Linked DNA regions of Drosophila melanogaster. The gene in region 1 interacts genetically with each later gene. Each region holds a gene or a part of one and is shown in the gene's direction. Other genes may lie near its edges. The genes, in order: eff, bchs, Pc and ph-p.

Region 1 (4,729 bases):
TTACTGTTTAAACTATGAATTGGGCGGGAATTATATATTCAGATATGACACGACCCAAGTTGCAAGTGCAGCGGAAGTGATCCATTACGCAAGTTTAGAGCGGAAAGAGCGGTGCGATTGCTCGAAAAAAAGAGATGGCAGAGTGGAAGGTAGAAAATGAGTATTAAAACCCATGGGGGTTTTATTACAATTACAATTCTGTGACATGCCAAACGAATCCCTCGAACTGGAAACTCTCTGTTCCAACCAGAATTCTTTATTTTTGGTTTTCTTTTCCTGTTTTGGGGTTAAATCTAAATACATACAAATGGCATTATCAAAGTTTAAATAAAATACTACATTTTATAATACATAACTTAAAGGGGATATATTATATTTGATTGGCAATTATAGAAGTTCCTTGTTCTCCTAATATTACAAGTTTATCTGGTTCTTTGTGCAACAAACTCACCTTGTGGCAAAACGCGGCTGCCTCCTTGGCCACGCCTACTCCGTCCGCTGAGTGGGCGTGCGTTGATGGCGAGGTCGCGTAGACGAAGAGCGGTAGCGAGCTAAAGTTCCGTTTGTCCTGAAAGCGGCGGCTGAAGAATAACGGCTTGTGGCATCCCGCTGCAGCGGCTAGTATGTTTGTTGTTGTTGCCGTTTTCGTAACACTAGGTGTGGAAGCTACTGCTGCTGCTTCTTCTTGTCTGCGCGTATTTACTGTTGTTGTTGTTGTTGTTATGGGTGCTGCAGTTGTTGTGTTTGCTGTTGTTGCATTTGCTGGGGTCGCCATTGGCGTATCGCAATTTTCTCGTATTATCGCCGCTTCTTCCTCTTCGCTGCAAGTTGTTGTTGTCTGTGTTTGCGTTTTTGTTGTTGGCATGACTACAACTACAGCTACTATAAATCGAATATAAATATATCGACGGAGGCGTGGGCGGTGGCGGAGCTGTGGGCGTGTCCCTGCAGCTGCTGGCGTCCCTTATTGTTGTTTCTGTTGTTCTTGTTGTTATTACTTAGGACCTTGGCATTATCCTCCTCCATCTTTTTTGCTGTTCAAGAAGTCAGCGAAGTTCAGCGCTTGCCAAAACTGAATGATTAGCACTTGCACATCGTCGCGTTTATCTTGGCTTTCTTCATTATTTCTTGTTTTTCAAGTGCAAAAATATTGTACAAATTCTTGGGCCATACAAAAGTGTGAGTTCTGTGTAAAAATTCACAAAAAAATACGCACGAAGCCGATTGCGGGGGTGGGAGAGAGATGGCGATACACGAACGAGTTCAAAGGGCCGCCAAACTAGGAAAAACACGCCAACAAATCAAACAAAACACTTGCACAACCGCAATTCGATCAATGTCGAAGCAAAACAGCCACTAATATTAAGTATATTACTTAATTAACAAACACTTTTGTTTGAAATATTTTGCAGACAGTTAAAGTTAGAGCTGGAACCAAAATCGATGTTTATGCGATACTATCGATGTATAGGGTAAGAGGGCTGCATTGATTAAATTCAGCTACCGTCGATTGTTTTAACTGTTCATACTATTATAACGGCAGTTTCAGACAGCGGAAGCGCCATTTGGAGTAGTGAGAAAATAAAAAGTTAAATTAAATGAACCAGTTTATTTTGTTAAAAATATTTTCATCCTTATGATAATAAAATCTAAATACTAAAAATCTACTAACGCCTGTTATTCCCAAAAACTATCGATAGCACAACGGAAAATATCGACAAGTATCCTGAATTGGCACGTCGGCCTTGCCAGACCAGCGCTCTGGAGTGAATTTAAATTTTAAAATAACGCCCTGTCAATTCAGTTGTAGAACTCAGTAGCTAGTCGGAAAGTTTTCAAGAACTCGGATTACCAACATCTCAAAATTGCTCAGTAAAAACATTCCGGCAGCCTGCAACACGTTGGGTGTTAACAAATTTACATACAAGTTGCAAGCTTTTGGGCGCACGCACCATCGATAAGAAGGTAGTTCGAATAAAATATAACACCTCCTCGCTGCCGGTAAAACTATTTCTTCTGGCTGTTCCCGAACTAAAGTGAGTATGAAGAGTCTTGCATTGGCAATCAAATTGTAATTAACTGATTCATCCCTCACCTAAAAGGCGTTGCCACCCAATCGATCTGGCCACCCCTAGCGAAAAGGTCATATAGCTGGACTGCTCTGCTGGACTTCCGCTTCACAACACTACCACACGACACAGACACACCATTCCTCTCGCTCGGGCTTACACTTCGGTGTAACGATTGTGCTTCGTTGCGTTCTCAGCTCACTAACGGTCGTCTCTATCGCACAAACGGTCGAAAGGCCCCGCATTGATTGTGAAAAAATAATCGTCGCCGTAGTCTTCGTCGGGTCGCCGTTTTTACTTGCAGTGCGCTGGTGCTGCTTTATTTCGTGACAAGGGACACTCAACCGAAAGAGCCATATTTAAGCATCAAAGTTCTAGAGGCGCAACGCAGCTTTGTGTTTCGTTTTTCGTTCAATTCTAAGCAGGAGGATTATATATTGAATAAAACCCAATTCTGTGCGAAGAACAAAAGAAATACGCGAGACACCAACACCAGCACACAACCAACCAAACACACACACAACCAACCAAACACACACACAACCCAGAAAATCAAATTTCAATCAGAAAATGGCGTTAAAAAGAATCAATAAGGTATGTGAAAAAAGGAATATCTCAAAAAACTTTGCGAAACGGACTAAAAAAAGAAAGAACAGAACCCTTTGCGATACACCAAAATGATAGTCTAAAAAAAAAGCGAACAGACATCAGTTTTCAACGGGAGAAAAATTTTATGCAAGAAATGTGAAACGTAGGTAGTAACCGAGGAGAAGAAAGAAGAAGCGGGGGGAAAGAAGCGTGCAAGAGGGAAGGGAGAAAATGAGCTGTGGAGTTACCATTTAATTAATAAGTTAGTAATTAGGAGCAGATTAGAAATTTTGAGGGTGGTGAAAAAGGTATAAGGATGTGTGTGTGTGGTGGGCAAGGCAACGTGTAGTGCAGTCATCGCTTCCGTTACTTTTGCGAGAGTGTGGGATAAGTGTGTGTGCGATGCGTGTGCGTGAAAGTGCAATGCAAATGTGCATTGTTTGTGTGCGTGTGTGCCGGGCACCTGGATGCATTTACATTAATGCAACTATACGGCGGAGTTTTCGCAGCTCTACGGGCGCTGTTACCCAATACACGCTGTACACGGCACTCGCACACACTCTCAGCCTCGCAACAGTCACACATAAACGCACACACTGCCAGCGCCGCAGAAAGATCCAGCAAAAAATAAAACAGAGCAAAAGCAAGAAGCGTATAAAATTAACCTAACCCTACTTTTTGCGCTGATAATTCAGAAATAGTGCTGCCCCCAAGCATATATATTTATATATGTATTTAGGTAGAGTGGTTCTAGCGTGCGTGCTTCGATAATTATTTTTAAAGTGCCTGCGCGTCGTTTGTCCTTGTCCAGTAAATGCTTTTTTACACCCCAATGTTCAAGGCCCTGACAACCCGATATTTTTTCAAAGTCATCCCAGCCTTCCTCAAAAGCATTAGTAATATCTCGAAGTTGTGGAAATGTTACTTGGCAAATTGGGATCTTTTTTTACGTTTGAAGCCGGTTATCATAGTCATACCCCACACACACACACATTAAAACGCTCGCAAATACAAAGTCTCGCCATCACTTGGCTATGGCCATTGCATGCCATCTCGCTCTGGCCCTGGCGCATTCCCTTTGCCCGCGACAGCTGAGGCCTCATTCGGTCCCGCTCGCGCAATGGGGCAGAGCCAAAGAGAGCGCAAGTGTGTGAGTGCTAGCGGGGCTTAGTGTTGCAAAACACCGTCAGCCAAAAGGGGGCCCCCAAATAATTAGTTATAAATTATAATTAAGCATAATTTACATACAAAATGAGCAGCGAATGCGGAATTTGTTCATATCTATGCGTATGTGTGAGCGTGGTGTGTATTTGTGTTTGAATGTGTGGGGCGGGGGTCTGCTGACTGTCTCGACAAAAGCAGCGCTGCCTGCGTCGGCGTCATGGCCATTGAGTTTTCCTCGTTTTTCGTAGTTTTCTATCCATTATAACATTTTAATGCCTGCCTAAATGAAAACGAAATGGCAAGCGGCAAACCGGAAATAAAAGTATACATTGTAGTAAACTCTTAAAATCACTCACGCCCCCTTTTTGTGGTCAATTCTTCAAAAGCCTTTTTTCTCTAGATGGCCTCATTTGCCAAAAAAGAGAGTTAAAGAGCGAGAGAGAACGGCTTAAACGCCGATCGGAGCTCACTTGAACCGTACACTGAACGAAATGGGCTTTAGAACCAATGCATATGGCATTTAGTCTTACTGAACCAATTCTTAAAGTTCACAATATTAATTATTCGAATAAGAATTAAATAGAAGTTTGTATTGGTAGTGCACCTGGTCTAATATTGATAATATTATCGAATTTTCTTGCTGTGCACAAGTGTGCGTGTTTGTTTTTACTTCATTTGTTCGTCTGATATGAGTCATAACCGCTCCGACTCCCAACGAAAAAAGAAATGTAACAATTTCTTGTAATTTATTTTTGCTCAACAGGTACAATTCCCAAAATGAGTAAGTGAGATGGGGCAAAGAAACACGGTGTTTTTCGCGACGGCTATTTTTGTTGTGCTCCACTCTGATTTTGTGGTGCCGTTACAAACACACGCATACACTGAAGCTCAGTCTTCTCACTCTCCTT
Region 2 (4,815 bases), on another chromosome or scaffold:
CTTGGCCGCCGCCCGGGGTCTTGCCAATTTCGATACGCAAATGTTTCGCTCATTGTCAACAACAGCGTCGTGATGAAGTGGAGGACTCTGGGGCGAAAAATAAAAGTTATTCGTTCCGACAGAAAGGGGGAAGCCCCGCCTAATGAGTCCCCCATGAATGCTGTGCAAATGATTTTTGGGGTTACACTTTTAAATTTTCCGGAAACGCCTCGAGCAGCATATGCGGTCCTCGGAAAATTCACTTAAAAATCCACTTAAAATTTTGCTGGGTATTGCACTTCACCTTTAAAGGAAGATTAAGCGGATGAAATAGGCTGATGTCACTTTACTCATAAGAGTTTGTATGTAAATAGAATGTTCGCGCCAACTTCACGAGTTTTTTTTTTTAGTGCGCTATCAATCTACCGAATATCATTTTACTGGTCTACCCCTTCTTGGCACCTGAGATATTGTTCCCGTTTTTGTCAGTTGTAGGGGGCCTCTATTTATAACTGAAACGGAAAAATCCATTAGAATATTGCCGCAGACAAAGGACTTTCCCCACAACCCTGCCCCACAAATCGCGGTGGGGGGTTTGTCGGGCGGGAAAGTGCGCAAAGTACCTGTCTGGGTGGGAAGATATAATACCTGGAGAAGTGCCAATCCCAAACGCTTTCCCACATAAACAAGCATTAGGGAACTCCGAGCTTAGCTTATGTGGCTGGCTGGCTAGCTGGAAAACTGAAGAGGACTGTGGGAGCGGGTGGATACGGGCAGTCACGCAAGGGGTCAGTGGGCGTGGCGGGGCCAACGCCCAAAGGTAAACTATTTTTGGGGAGCGAGGCAGTTGGTCATGGGGATAACTACTAACTAAATATTTAGCACGACACGCCTTTATTCTTTTGCACCCCTAATTGATTCAAAAACGAAATTTTATCCGCATTAAAATGGGGAGACACAGCGAATTGGTTTCGGGTACAGGGAAATTAGATCAGAAGGACGTGCGTGGCATTTAATGGCCTTACCAATCAATCAATCCCAATAAACTTACAGCATTCTCTGCCACAAATGAGTCAGCAAATAGCATCATTATCAACGCATGAAGTTCGCCATCGGGTGTTCGTTCAATCAATATGCAAATAAATTTGTTGTCATATCCGACAGCTATCTGTTGATGCTGACAATTATAACAACTGTAAGTACAAACACAAATATTAATAACCCCTAGCCAGAATCAATAAAGAATCTCACACTCATGCGAATATTGGGCGAGAGAGAAATTTGGAAATTAATGGCCAATGGCCTAAGAATACCAATTGTTAGCCGAGATGCGAAAGCACTCATATAATATTATTAACAATAATGAACTTAATTATGAGCACACATGAACATTAAGTAAGTGCTAATTAAGTATCAATTTAGATGCTAAGTTTATGAGATAAATCAGTTTAGTTCTATTAAACTGTTGCCATTAGTTTAGTAAGCGATCTAATATATACAATCTGAAGATAAGCACATCGTTGGCGACATACAAAAGATTTTGTATTAAATAAAAATAATAAAATGAAGTAGATTAATACAAATCGGTCTTGTTTATTTGCTTATCAGTACAGTTGAATTTGAAATGCCAAAGCTAGACCGCCGATCATAATTCAAAATGCAGCACTGGCGTTTGGTCTTAATGAGCACTGGCTGCGGTGGTGGAAAATGTGAACAGCTGATACCACTGGCAGCGCTACGCAACACTCGACAGAATAACGAAAAGAGAGTACAGACGAAAAGCTGGAGAAAATTTGGTTCATATTTTCATACGTGAAACAAGATGTAAAACGAGTGCATTTAGGGCCCAAAATAGTGAAAACTCACACGGGAAACACAATGCTAGCGACGGATAGCAAAAGTAAGTGACGGCTGCACGAAATAAGCCGGAAAAGTGCATGTGAAAATTTTCAAATTCGACCTATCTGCTGGTTTGTTCAAGGGTGGGTGGCGGGCAGAGAGGCCGAGTGAGAGTACGCGAGAGAGGAAGAAAAATCAATAAAATTGTCGTGAGGCGCGATTGACTGGAGCAAAACAAAGTGCGACACGAAAGAGAGCGCTAAGCGGACTACGAAAAAGCAACAACAGAGCGGCCGTTAGCTGAACCAAATGCGTTGGCAGAAAAGAGAGGTCAGATAGTCGGTAGTTTCAAAGGGAGTTGGAGTAAACAAACAAGTGCGCAATAAGTAAACCAAGAACAGCTGTCTCGCACAAAATGTAAATATTTCCCGAATATATGGAATAATAACCACTATCGGTTAATCGCTTGCTCGCTATGTAGGCGTACGAATCGAATCGAGTCGGCGACAGAGGCAACGTTCATTCACTCGCGAAAAGTTAATACTCGCACCGAATACAATGATCGCACTTTTCGTGTGATTCACCTCCAGCGGCCGCTAATTAAGGCGGCGGCAGCAGAAATAGAATAGCTGCGAAAACAAGCCATAACGCCAACTGCACTGTGCGCGGTTGTGATTTGGAAGCCACTCAATTGAAAGTGTCAGTGCTGTGCAAATAAATCGCCAAAATATCTCACCTCCAATGTTCAAAAGATACAATATCTACAATAAGCACAGGTTCTATGGAAACATATGTTTAAATGCGAAGCGACACGTTTTGAACTGAAACCTGCATGAAAGTGGGAAAGTTCATTAAACTACAGCAGTAAAAAGTTTCAAAATACTATGAAATATCTTTTTACACCTTTATCGAATAATATATAATCTTTTTAAACGGCATAACATTGTAAACAAGTGAATCACCATTATTAAAACACATGTAGAAAGTGCCACCCCCTTGCAAAAAAATCAATGACATTCCTCATAGTACAGCCATTAGATTAGTCTTATATTTTGTATTAAGTCAACTTAATTTTCTCTCTTTTAGATTAATCTTACCGCAAATCAACAAACACAAAGATGAATGTAATGCGTAAGCTGCGCGGAGCGGCCAGCGCAGGCAGCGTCAGCGGCAGCAGTAGCGGAACCTCGACGGCGAACAACAGTTCACCAGGGAGCAGCAGAACGGATGCTGGTGCACCGACCGCTGCAAATGGACGGAATGCGGAGGAGGCGCTGATGGACGCCCGCGTCCAAGTGAGCCTCACCACGCTAAAGAAGCTATTCAACGAATACACTCATCCGCGGGAGCCGCTGAGCGAACAGGAGCGCGATGACAAGCTCTACGAGATGCTGCCCCTCTTCTGCAAAGTGAGTGAATCAGTCGGTATGGAGGAATAGGCCACTAACTCCCCATTCTTACAGGTCTTCAGCAGCTGTCCGTCAAACGACATGAGCGAAAAGTTCTGGGACGTGGTCGCCTTCTGCCAGCAAGTGTCCCGTCTCATGGTCAGCGAAATCCGCAAGCGCGCCTCCAACCAGAGCACAGAGGCGGCATCCATTGCCATAGTCAAGTTTCTCGAGGTGGAAACCACCGAGGAAACCAGCAGCGGATGGATGCTTTTGGCTACCCTCAATTTGTTGGCCAATGGAGACGTATCTCTCATACAGGTATGTTTCATTTATAAACTGCTATAGTATCTTATGGTAAAAATACATCGACGTAATCAAAACAAAAAATTTCAATAGCTACAATTTTCGTTAGGGAAAGTCGTCATCAAATTCACGAAGTTTTCTCAGTTCCAGGCTTCAAAGAGAATTCGATGTGTGAGTTCGTAGCTTCTTCATTTGTAATATTTGGGTTGGCTGCATCTGGAACTTGTTGTTCCTTTTCTCCCGCATCGCTTGGCTTATGGACCAATTCAGCATTGCTTAAAGTTCTGAGCCGAGAATAGCTAGAGCCCTGTTCTACCAGCAAAATCTCCGATTTCTCCCTTTTCTCAGTGTCCGCCCACATGGAAGATCGCCGGGCTAGCTTCCGATCCATTTGAATGGGTTTCATTGTGGCCTCGCTGTTCTCACTTGACCGAGTTGAAACAAGGCTAACAGTGCTCCTGTCCTCGATTTTGGCCCACAAGCTCGAGGAATCGCTGGAGCCGCGCCAGGCTGAAGCAGACCTGCGCATCTTATTGGCCTGCTCTTCCATGTACACACTGTACTCCGTGTCCACCGGTGTGATATCCGATTCACTGGTGGTTATTGTTGGCGTTGATAGAAAACTCTCGTCACTCTCGATCTGATGCAGCGAAAAGAACTTTTTACGCGCATCCCCAATGAACTGCCACATGCGGACTATAAAGTGCGGCTGCTCCACCTCCGCGTTCGGCCGGAAGTACAGGATCTGAGAATTGGCCAACTTATAGTAGCACCTGCAGCATTTGCATAGAAAGTCGTCCACTGGCTTGGAAAGCACAAATAGCCCGGTTGAACCAGACTCTGTTCCCTCAAAGTACTTACGGCCAGTCGCCTGACGTTTCCAGTCGCCGGGTTCCATGCGCATCAGCAGGTCGAACACGTGGAACATGTGCATCAGGTACATGGTGCCAGTAACCAGCGCAGCGATGCTCTGCTGCTTGCAGTGCGCAAAGTGCGGATGTTCCAGATACTCGATGGTAGAATTGATGAAGGCCAGGTGAGGGTCCAGCATGGCGGTGCGCATTATCAGCACGCCGCAGAAATAGTGCGACAGCACGGCACTCAGTGTGAGCAGGAGCTGGGAGGAGAGCACCGTACTCCTAGCCAATAGCAGTCGGAACGCGCCTAGAGCGGCGAGCGCCGTAAAGGACGAAAATGTGGCACAATATAGGATCACATGAGGAGTACGCTCTGGCCAGTAGGATGAGCCGCGTATGTGGAAAAACATACAAACACTGCCCAGCAACACCTCGATGAGTTTAAA
Region 3 (5,351 bases), on another chromosome or scaffold:
GTATGACCTCCTATTGCGGCGTTCCTTTCTCTTTTCTTTTTATAAACTCTTTTTTTAGGCAAAACGACTGATAAATACAAGCTATTCCATTGTCCTGTTTGCGTTAATATATGGCCGTAATGCTCAATCTACTGGTTAAAAAATAACCGGAAGTTTTCGTTAAGCTGTGTCTCTCTTTTGTTACTTTCTCTTTGCGATTTTGACACTTGGCATTGCTTCTCCCAATATAACTGTAACTGGCTAGCTTTTATCGCCTCTCATAGTTTTGACGTTTTCTCTGAGCTTTCTCTCATCGGCATTTCCGAGTTTTCTCTTTATGACTTTGACATTTACCGTTGTCCGTCGCTCCCGTCCGGTTGTGTGGCACGTTTTTCTGAATGAATCCGCTATTCGGGGCTTTCGCCTGGAGATGGGGTGGTTTGCCGTTGCTATTATTATTTCCTATATGCTATAAGCTTAATATTTTCGCCAGCCTTATCAGTTGGCCAGTTTTCCTAATCGCTATTCGTTAGTTTTTCGCTCCGTACAATTGAACTAGGTATTGGTTTTTCCCCTTTTTTGTTCGGTTGTTTGGTTGCTTGGTGTTTTGTTTGAAGCCACTAATTAAATATCATCTATGTAAATTGTAACTAGCTAAACATATTGACTAATATTTTATAGGTTATGCGCTAATTGGTGCTGTTTTCACTATGAATTAAACATTAATCTATTTATAGGGTTCGCAACAATTTGCTTGGTGTTTTTCTTTATGTTTTGGTTAAAGCTTTTGGTTAATTTCTCGTTTTCGTCGTTAAGTGTGAAGATTCTCCATGCGTTTCGCGTCCCTCGTCGAAAATATTGCGATTGATTTCAAGGGAATGGGTGTTATTTCAGTTGTTGGTCTTGGTGTTGTTGTTATTTCACTATCACAGCATAAATAAAATAATGTCATCGTCGTTGCCGCCCCCGCCACGCGAACCCTCGGCCAACATACAACTGGCATAAAATATCTGCAGTCGGCCACTTCCTTTCACATCCATCCTGAGCTTTCGGCGCTCTTGTGCTTTCTCACACTCTCTCCCGCACTTTCTCTCCCTCTTGAGGATGTGGCATTTGAAGAGTTCGAAGAGGGTAACTAGTTCAGTTGTAATCAAGTTAATTATCAAACTTAATTGAATAGGAATATGGGGCGAAGTATATGTGGCAATTTGTGATACAATAAGTGAAGCAGGACAAAGGAAAATCAAAACTCAATATGGGATGAAAGCAACACAACGATAAACGTTAACGAAAGTATAATATTTCGTTACCTGGAATTCAATTCAACATGCAGTTTAAAAAGAATACTGTACAAAGGATTCATTAAAAATGCGCTTATTAAAATTTGATTAAAAGCTATTTTATATTTAAGCTAATTGGTTTAACTTCTCGCCGGTTTAGTAATTTGTAGAAACGATAAAAGAAAATAGTGTATAAGGCAACAGCGCCAAAAAAATGTTTTCTAAAACATTTATATACCCCATTTATAAATAATAGAAAAATGTCAAGAAATTCTGAAAATATTTTAACAAAACATTTACATTTTAAAAACGCACAATTAGGTGTGTCTAGTCATCAAAGTTTTGAGTCTTTGCTAATTTTGCCAGGAAAGGGTGTGCGACACGGCTACTTGCTAAGATATGATCCCAGTTCTTTGTAGCACGGTAACTCTGCACCTCGCAGCACTATCGATTGTTTACATGAAAATAATCGAGTCGGACGACTATCGACGTACGCAGAATTGTAAACCAGAAGTTAATTGCAAATAAAACGAATAATAAAACGTTCCGAGAAGATTATTAATTAAAAATGACTGGTCGAGGCAAGGGGAGTAAGGGGAAGTTGGGGCGCGACAATGCGACCGACGATCCAGTCGATCTAGTGTACGCGGCTGAGAAAATCATCCAAAAGCGCGTTAAGAAGGTGAGATGAGCGTAAACAAATTCGAAAAAGGCGACCAAAACGGGATGCTCCGCTAAAAATGGCAAATGCAATATGCGCAGCACACGCAGGATATATGTATAGTCCACAAGGTCACATGTCCTTCGACATTTTTTGGCCAGAGGACATCTGCTGCTGCAACCACCATTTGCACGATGCATGTGTGTGTGCGTAGTGCGTTCGTATGTGTGTGTGTGTGTATGTGAGGCGTGTTTTTGTTTCGCTGAATGGAAAATCAATTAGTTGTCTAAGAAAATGCAATCCACCCCCACTCCTTCACTTACTCGATTTTCCAGGGCGTCGTGGAGTACCGTGTCAAGTGGAAGGGCTGGAACCAGCGCTACAACACCTGGGAACCGGAGGTAAACATCCTGGATCGCCGCCTCATCGACATCTACGAACAAACGAACAAATCCTCCGGAACTCCCTCCAAGCGAGGCATTAAGAAGAAGGAGAAAGAACCCGATCCGGAGCCGGAATCCGAGGAGGATGAGTACACCTTCACCGAAAACGATGTGGACACGCATCAAGCCACCACCTCATCGGCTACCCACGATAAGGAGTCGAAGAAGGAGAAGAAGCACCATCACCACCACCACCATCATCACCACATCAAGTCCGAACGCAACAGTGGACGGCGCTCGGAATCTCCGCTGACCCACCATCATCATCACCACCACCACGAGTCCAAGCGTCAGCGCATTGATCACAGCTCCTCCTCGAACAGCAGCTTCACGCACAACTCATTTGTCCCCGAGCCGGACAGCAACTCCTCCAGCTCCGAGGATCAGCCGCTGATCGGCACCAAACGCAAAGCCGAGGTGCTCAAGGAATCGGGCAAGATTGGAGTTACGATTAAGACCTCCCCAGATGGCCCCACTATTAAGCCTCAGCCGACCCAGCAGGTAACTCCCAGCCAGCAGCAGCCCTTCCAGGATCAGCAGCAAGCGGAAAAGATTGCCAGCGAGGCTGCAACGCAGCTGAAATCTGAGCAGCAGGCCACCCCACTGGCCACAGAAGCCATAAACACAACGCCCGCAGAGTCCGGAGCTGAGGAAGAAGAAGTAGCCAACGAGGAAGGCAACCAACAGGCGCCACAGGTTCCTTCCGAGAACAATAACATACCAAAACCGTGCAACAACCTGGCTATCAACCAGAAACAGCCGCTTACTCCTCTTTCGCCGCGTGCCCTTCCGCCGCGCTTCTGGCTGCCGGCCAAATGCAACATATCCAACCGGGTGGTGATCACAGACGTCACCGTAAACCTGGAGACCGTTACCATACGCGAGTGCAAGACGGAGCGCGGGTTTTTTCGTGAGCGCGACATGAAAGGCGATTCGTCGCCAGTAGCTTGAGCTTCGACCCAAACAAATGTCGGGAAAACAAACCGGAAAACTGATACAATTGTAAATAGACAAACCAAAATGCGAGAAAGTTGAGAGAAGAATTATGCAGAGAAATCCACACTAAATGTTGCTAAGCATTTTCTCTTTAGGACTTAACTAATTTATTGTATTTATTTTTAGCGTAGGTTTTAGTTTGTTGTTTTATTACAATGTTTAATGTGCAAGAGTAGTTTAAGCAAGCGCAAGTCGGGTATTTACTAAATGACTTTATATATACATAAATTTTCGCTCATTTTTTTTATCAGCATTGCAATGATTGAATATTTTCCTATTTAAATTAAAAATTTATTTTTCTGCAATATCACTTTTTAAGATTAATCTGGTTGTCATTTAGTGAATAGGCGAAATGCTGCGGCTGCTTAACTTGCCAATGCAATAGATTGTAAAACTTGCAGCGTAGATAAATATGTATGTACATGTTACATATATTTACCACATATTGTATATTTTTTATAACACTTTGAATCTGATTGAAAACAACACAAGACACTCAAATGCTAAGAAAACTCCATGCGAAACCGAAGCAATTGTTGATTACGCTTACAAATATATACAATAGAAGATGCATATATTCGAGTAGTCACCACCACGTTTGCCGAGTTGGCTATCCCAATGTTGTAATTGTTTAATATTATATTTCCTCGCGCCGACTGATTTTACAAAAGAAAACCCCAAAAACATATATACAATTGTAGATTTACAAATATTTTTAGACTTTAGCTAACCAAAATCTCTACGTAATATTTATTTTAACATGTTCTCTTAGCAGTCATTCAAGACTCAAGTGCTGCCTTTATGGGTTCAGAGCGGTGCAGTGCACAGATAATTCCAAATCGAGCCCATAGACTCATTACTTAAATCCTATGTCTATTTCACAATTTTTTTTCACGCTATGAAACAGAAAACTACGTGGGAGCTGCGGGGAATTTACAAACTCCTGCTTATTTCCCATGGGTCCTGTGCGTATGTTTCTATTTGTCTTAGCTCTTTATTGGCTAGTTTTAGTTACGGCGTAAATTCCACACAAAACAGCAATTCAAAGCGTATATTTTAAGCTTTTTAATATAGTTGTAAAGTCCCAAATGAGAAGACTTTACTCGTTGAGTTTTTGTAAGAAACTGATTTTATTTGGAATTATCTTCGGTTTAAATAGGTGACATGAGAATCGCATCTTAAAGTAAATGGCCTACGCAGAGGCCTAAGTAAATAGTCCCCGCCTTATCGAGGTCCCACGCTCGGGCACATCTGCCTATCTTGAGCGGCGAGGACCTTATCTGTGGTCTCCCACTAAGGGACTATTTTAGGAGGCGGGGAACGATCTCAAGTGACTGACTCATGTAGTGTGCACTTAAATTACATGTTTTTGAGCAATGCACCCATGTCGCCTTAGATAACAAAATCCTAAATATAATTTATCGCTCTCGATTCATTTACATAAGATATGAACGGAGCCCAAAATTGTAAGTCTTTAAATATATTCGTGTTCATGTGTGAACATTCTGCCAAAGGGCCAGCAAGCTGAGATGTACATTAGTATATTAGTTGCATTTATAACAGTAGTGGACTGTATTTATTTGATATATGTTCATTTATTTTGCAACTAAGATTTCAATGGGCCTAGTTTTTCTGGCTTTTAATTTTATTGGATTACAATTATGGTTTATATTATTTTTAATTCAACAATTTGTACTCAATTAACTTATTTTAAACATTTTGCTTTTTCTATGTAGAAGTACATTTTCTATTAGTGGACTGTATATTTTTATTTGTTATATTATTTTATTGTTTATTTACTATTGATATTTATAGTACTGGCAACGGACCTGCAAAGGTTATTGCTTGCATTCTTTGTTGCACAGCACATTTCCGTATGAAATATATTATTAATACTATCATTAGTATTAAAGCAATAATTAATCCAGCATGTCCGGAAATATGATGGAAATGTAAATCTTTCAATTTTTGATGGTTCTCTTTCATAAATTT
Region 4 (4,618 bases), on another chromosome or scaffold:
AAAGCTAATCGGAATGAAAACATTTGTGGGGCTCAGCGACGTTGTTGTTGGATGAGGTGGGAAGAGTAAGAAGAAGACCAACAAGAGCCCAAAGCAACGCACACATACTACAAATGGTGCATGCACACACGCACGGGCTGGCACAAAATGAAAAATGAAATGACAAAGACAGGCACAGTGGGTCATGAGTGGTGGATATTTGAAACATTAATAAACTTAAAACTTAATAAATCAACTCAATACGTATGTCTATTATATAATTCTATTTTACTAAACGTTTTCATTTTACTTATCGTAACATTGTTTATATGTATAAAAAGTTTGGAAAAATTGCTGTTCTAAAAAATTGACCCACTGTACTCTTGGTTCTCAAACTGCAACTGTAAAGCAATCCAATAATAATGGATCGCTTACCACTGTTCAATGGGGTGGAGAGAATAAGATTTCGCTCTGCCTCTGCGCATACGCTATCCTCCCCTTCTCAACCGACACACCCGTGTGTTACTGACAAGCACAACTAATAATAAGGTAAAGCCGATCCGACCCGATCTGATGTGAAAAAGAAGGAATGAGAAAGGAGGTAGAGGTAGGAAGGTAGTCGTAGTGGTGGTGGTTGTGATGGCACGAAAAAAGAAGATGAAGTATAGCAACAATCGTTGTCGAGTCGGGCCGGGCGGTAGACATTCGAGTGTACACACATAAAACTGGCTTCGCGCGTATTTATGTATGTACATACCCGGTACCCACAAAGTAAAAGGGTATACTGGGCACTTGGTTTTAACTGGAATTTGTGTTAGTAGTCAGCACCAATAACTTACAAATAAATATTTAAGAAGGGTTTTCATTTTAAGGATACGACTGAAGTTAGCGAGGAATGGTATATGAAAAAGGGGTATTTGAAAGTCGAGTCACCAGACCATGTTATGTTTTCAGCAACGGAAGGGGGCTTTCAGTCGGGGTGGTTGAGCACGCATACACATGCCCGCCAGCTGTAGTCTTCCTGTTTTTTTTACTCGTTTTGGTTTTGCTTTGTCAAACGAACTGCTGCCGTTTCATTCCAACCCCAAGCGAACGCACGGCATCCCTCTCGCACGCGCTAACTGGCCAGGGCCACTCCTAGTGGCGTCGCACTCGCACCCGTGCATTTCGGTATAGAGAAAAGTTATTAGTCGCAACGGCATCTGAGAAGAGAGAAGCGGATCCAGCTGCACACCAACACACACACATATTCAGCGCACATGCGCTCATTTTGTTTCCGATCCGAACGAAAAGTAGAGTTGTCGCTGTGGCGCGCGGTTCAGTTTGAAACTTAACTTGGCGGTGTACGGTTCTTGCGCTCTGCTCTCTCTGCGTTCGTGTTGGTGTGGTGTCGTATGTGTCGCATACCGCATCGCATGTGTATTGAACGAAGAAAAAACCCGCCGACGCGACATACTCACTGGATACCCTGCAAATTTGTTAAATTTTTTTCAAAAAGAGCTAACGGTGCTGTTGATTAGCTAGTGCAGATGTGCAGACATAAAAAGTGATGCCGCGCCACAGTGGAGCCCCTAGCTGGCGAATCGTCGCTGGCGACGTAGGCAGTGCAGTTAAAACAAGTACTTAGTGCTGTGACTGTGGCTTAATTTTATGTAAGATCGCGTGCACAGGTGCTTAGTCGTTACACTGAGAAAAAGAAAAGTGCCTGCAGCCAGCGGGGAGAAGTTGAAGTGGAGTGACTGTGAGTGGAGGTTGTACTAATTACTACTGCCCGTGCACGAAACACTCATTTACACGCAAGCACACACACACACACACACACACACGAGACACTGGGACTTTTGTCGGATTTTCGTATTCGTTTTGTGTACTTTTGTTGTCTTGCGTTCCACGTTACATACATATGTATATGTTTGGTGTTGCCTGTTGTATGTTTATATTTATTGCCTTCACACATGTGCGTGTTTGTTAATGTACAATATAATACGGCAAATAGCAAAAAGAGAAGAAACTGAGGACTAAAAAGAAAGCGCCATGCCGACTATAACAAAAACAACCACGAGTGTCTCCGCCGCCGCCGAAAACAAAAACAAAACGCCTAAGCCGACGCATGCATACCTATAATTTATTATAAATATTGTTTTTATTTTGAATAATGGATCGTCGTGCATTGAAGTTTATGCAAAAAAGGTATTTTTTGTTTAGTTTGGTTTTATTTTTATCACTGCTTTTGTACTGCCTGCACTTGTGCTTTTTGTTTACAATTTTTGGTTTAATCTGCTCTTGAGCATTGGATATTGATTCTATATCGTATTCGGATAATAATGACACGTTAATCATAATGCTCGTAAAAATGCAGCGAGTGGATATTCTGTGCTCTCTGTCATCATAAAATGCGCTCGACTGGCGGGCCAAGAAAAGAAAATAAATTCATGAAACCCAAAACGAGTTTCCCCTCCGTCGCCCTCTCCGCCATTCATCATCCAACCGACACACGCCCCCCGCTGTGCGGTGTTGTTGCATTTTTAACAACGAATTTCGCAATGCATGCCCGTGTCTGCATTTGTGTGTGTGCGTCGGCTGGTGGTGGTTGATTTCTCCGTCTCTCCGTGCAACCCTCTCTCACTCGCGCAACAAAGCAACATAAAGAAAACAAAAGTTCTATATCGAAAGGTATCAGTTTTTGTTGTTGCTGCGGCAACCCTGCTTACATTTTGCTTTACTCTGCCGAAATAAACAGTCTAGGGTTGTCAGCTGTAACGAATCTGAGAAATCTGTGTTCCGGTTTAACGAAGATTCAATTTTATTGAATACTTTTATATTTCTTACAGTCCGTTATCACTGAATGCTAATTTTTACCTACAAACTTAAATTGTTCGTGGCAAGAAAATAAACCAGAATGATTAAATTATTTTAGACTCGTTTAAAGCACAACAGTTTTTGTAAATAAATAGTTGACAACTCTGTTTACACCTACGCTACACCGCACTCGCTCTGAGTTTATGTGACTGTGTGTACGGCCTGGCCATAGCCTCATCTCGTTCACTCACATTTGTTTCATCTTCTTCGATTGCAGAACTCGTTTGTGTATCAATCAATAGGCTGTCAAGGCCCCCCCCCTCCTCGCTCGCTCCCGCGCATTTTGCACGCCCGAATCCACTGGAGGTGATGTTTGATTTGAGCGCGACCTTTCCCCCGCACCCCTATCGGCGTGTCTGTGTGTGTGTGTGCTGCCCCGCATTTTGATCATTCCTTTCCCACCGCTACTGCTTTCCCCCCGATTGCAAGCAGGCTGTTTTACGGGGGTTCTCACACACTCGAGCTCGAATGTATGTACCCTACTCCATGGCGACATGGAAACCAGTCTTTTTTTTTCTCTCAAGAGGTTTTTCGCAGCGTGCGGCCGTGAGCTTAACTTACACACACTTGCACACGCGCACCCACCACCCTGTGGCGAGTATTCCACCCCTCTGGACCACCCACCCCATATTCCCTTTCTTTTACGGGGTAGCAGCGACATGAGGGTTGCCAAAATGCTTTTACCGGCTTTTATAACCCATTTCGCTCCTTTTTCTGTCTTTTTTGCACTCATGCTTTTTATGCTCTTGCTGTTTATGGGCCTTGCGGGCTTTTTGGGCGATGGAAAGGGGTGGGGATCAGGCTCTCTGGACTGCCGGGCATCACAGTCGCGGTCAATGCAATAGGACCTTGAAACCACGCTTCTCCAGTTAGATCATTCATAGTTGAACTATATCAGGGAACTGATTCAGGAAGTAATATTAGTTAATTATTTCTAGAAAAACATCCTTACCATGTGGAGTACTCAGCCATTTACGTTTGTCCACTAATCCTATTAGCTTGAGCACTACTGTATAAAACACTAACCATCTCGTGTTGCTCCCAACTGTCAGCATTTTTAGCATTTCGATGGAAAGGTCCTTGAACTTCGCCTGCAATTCGCATCGGCTTTATTGCCCTTTTACAATAATATCGAACGGTGCCAGCTGCGTGGCTAAATTAGTTTTCCGGGCTGTTGTTGTCGAACGTTGAACGTGGAAAACGAGTGCGACTACCATGCTGCTCATGGAAATTCGAAAACCCATAGATAAAGATCGATGTGAAATGCGAAGGCTGTCAGGCAGCTCCTTTCTCTTCATTCGTTGAATGCGAAAGTCCGTTAAGTAGTTGGCCAAATGTTCATTGTCGCTGAAAAAGGGCGGGTTCGGAAAAAGGTCCACAAAAAGAACGAATATTTTCGGGATAGGGATTGGGATCGGGATCGGGCTCGGGATCTCTACCTAAAAGTTAACCAGGGTACACAATTCTTAATTAGAAATTGAAATGACATGGTACATATCTTCAGGCTTGACCTTGTGATTAAGTCGGAACTATAGTTTTGATATTATCCCGAGTTAAAGGTGATCGTTACCTCAGAGTCATATTTACTTTTCCCGCGTTTGTTTCTGCCACTCTCGAAAGTCATCTTTTATGTTTACATTGTAAATATGATTATTTAATAAGAGCGTTTTTGTTTGCTAGTTCCCGCATTTGTCTCACACTTTTTTGAATGACTAAAACCAGATTTTTGTATTTACCAAGTAGCCATATTTGCTTAAACAAAAAAAAAAAAAAAAAAAAC

The links.
Region 2: of eff (region 1) and bchs, changing one enhances a phenotype caused by changing the other (phenotypic enhancement), as found in Drosophila melanogaster (one study listed by BioGRID).
Region 3: of eff (region 1) and Pc, changing one enhances a phenotype caused by changing the other (phenotypic enhancement), as found in Drosophila melanogaster (2 studies listed by BioGRID).
Region 4: of eff (region 1) and ph-p, changing one enhances a phenotype caused by changing the other (phenotypic enhancement), as found in Drosophila melanogaster (2 studies listed by BioGRID).

The regions. Positions count from the first base shown.
Region 1 is NT_033777.3:14,738,314-14,743,042, reverse strand, and holds the start of eff (effete), read left to right. Parts: upstream 1-1,723; 5' UTR 1,724-2,036; intron 2,037-2,102; 5' UTR 2,103-2,639; coding exon 2,640-2,663; intron 2,664-4,729. Other genes in the region: jvl (javelin-like), read right to left, coding at 452-865. UniProt on the Drosophila melanogaster protein: Catalyzes the covalent attachment of ubiquitin to other proteins. Mediates the selective degradation of short-lived and abnormal proteins.
Region 2 is NT_033779.5:5,905,409-5,910,223, forward strand, and holds the start of bchs (blue cheese), read left to right. Parts: upstream 1-1,760; 5' UTR 1,761-1,879; intron 1,880-2,904; 5' UTR 2,905-2,936; coding exon 2,937-3,227; intron 3,228-3,281; coding exon 3,282-3,527; exon of another isoform or gene 3,528-3,639; coding exon of another isoform or gene 3,640-4,815. Other genes in the region: CG14000 (uncharacterized protein), read right to left, coding at 3,640-4,815.
Region 3 is NT_037436.4:21,314,387-21,319,737, reverse strand, and holds the start of Pc (polycomb), read left to right. Parts: upstream 1-1,717; 5' UTR 1,718-1,827; coding exon 1,828-1,941; intron 1,942-2,255; coding exon 2,256-3,314; 3' UTR 3,315-4,432; intron 4,433-5,351.
Region 4 is NC_004354.4:2,133,568-2,138,185, reverse strand, and holds the start of ph-p (polyhomeotic proximal), read left to right. Parts: upstream 1-1,563; 5' UTR 1,564-2,134; coding exon 2,135-2,169; intron 2,170-4,618. UniProt on the Drosophila melanogaster protein: Polycomb group (PcG) protein. PcG proteins act by forming multiprotein complexes, which are required to maintain the transcriptionally repressive state of homeotic genes throughout development.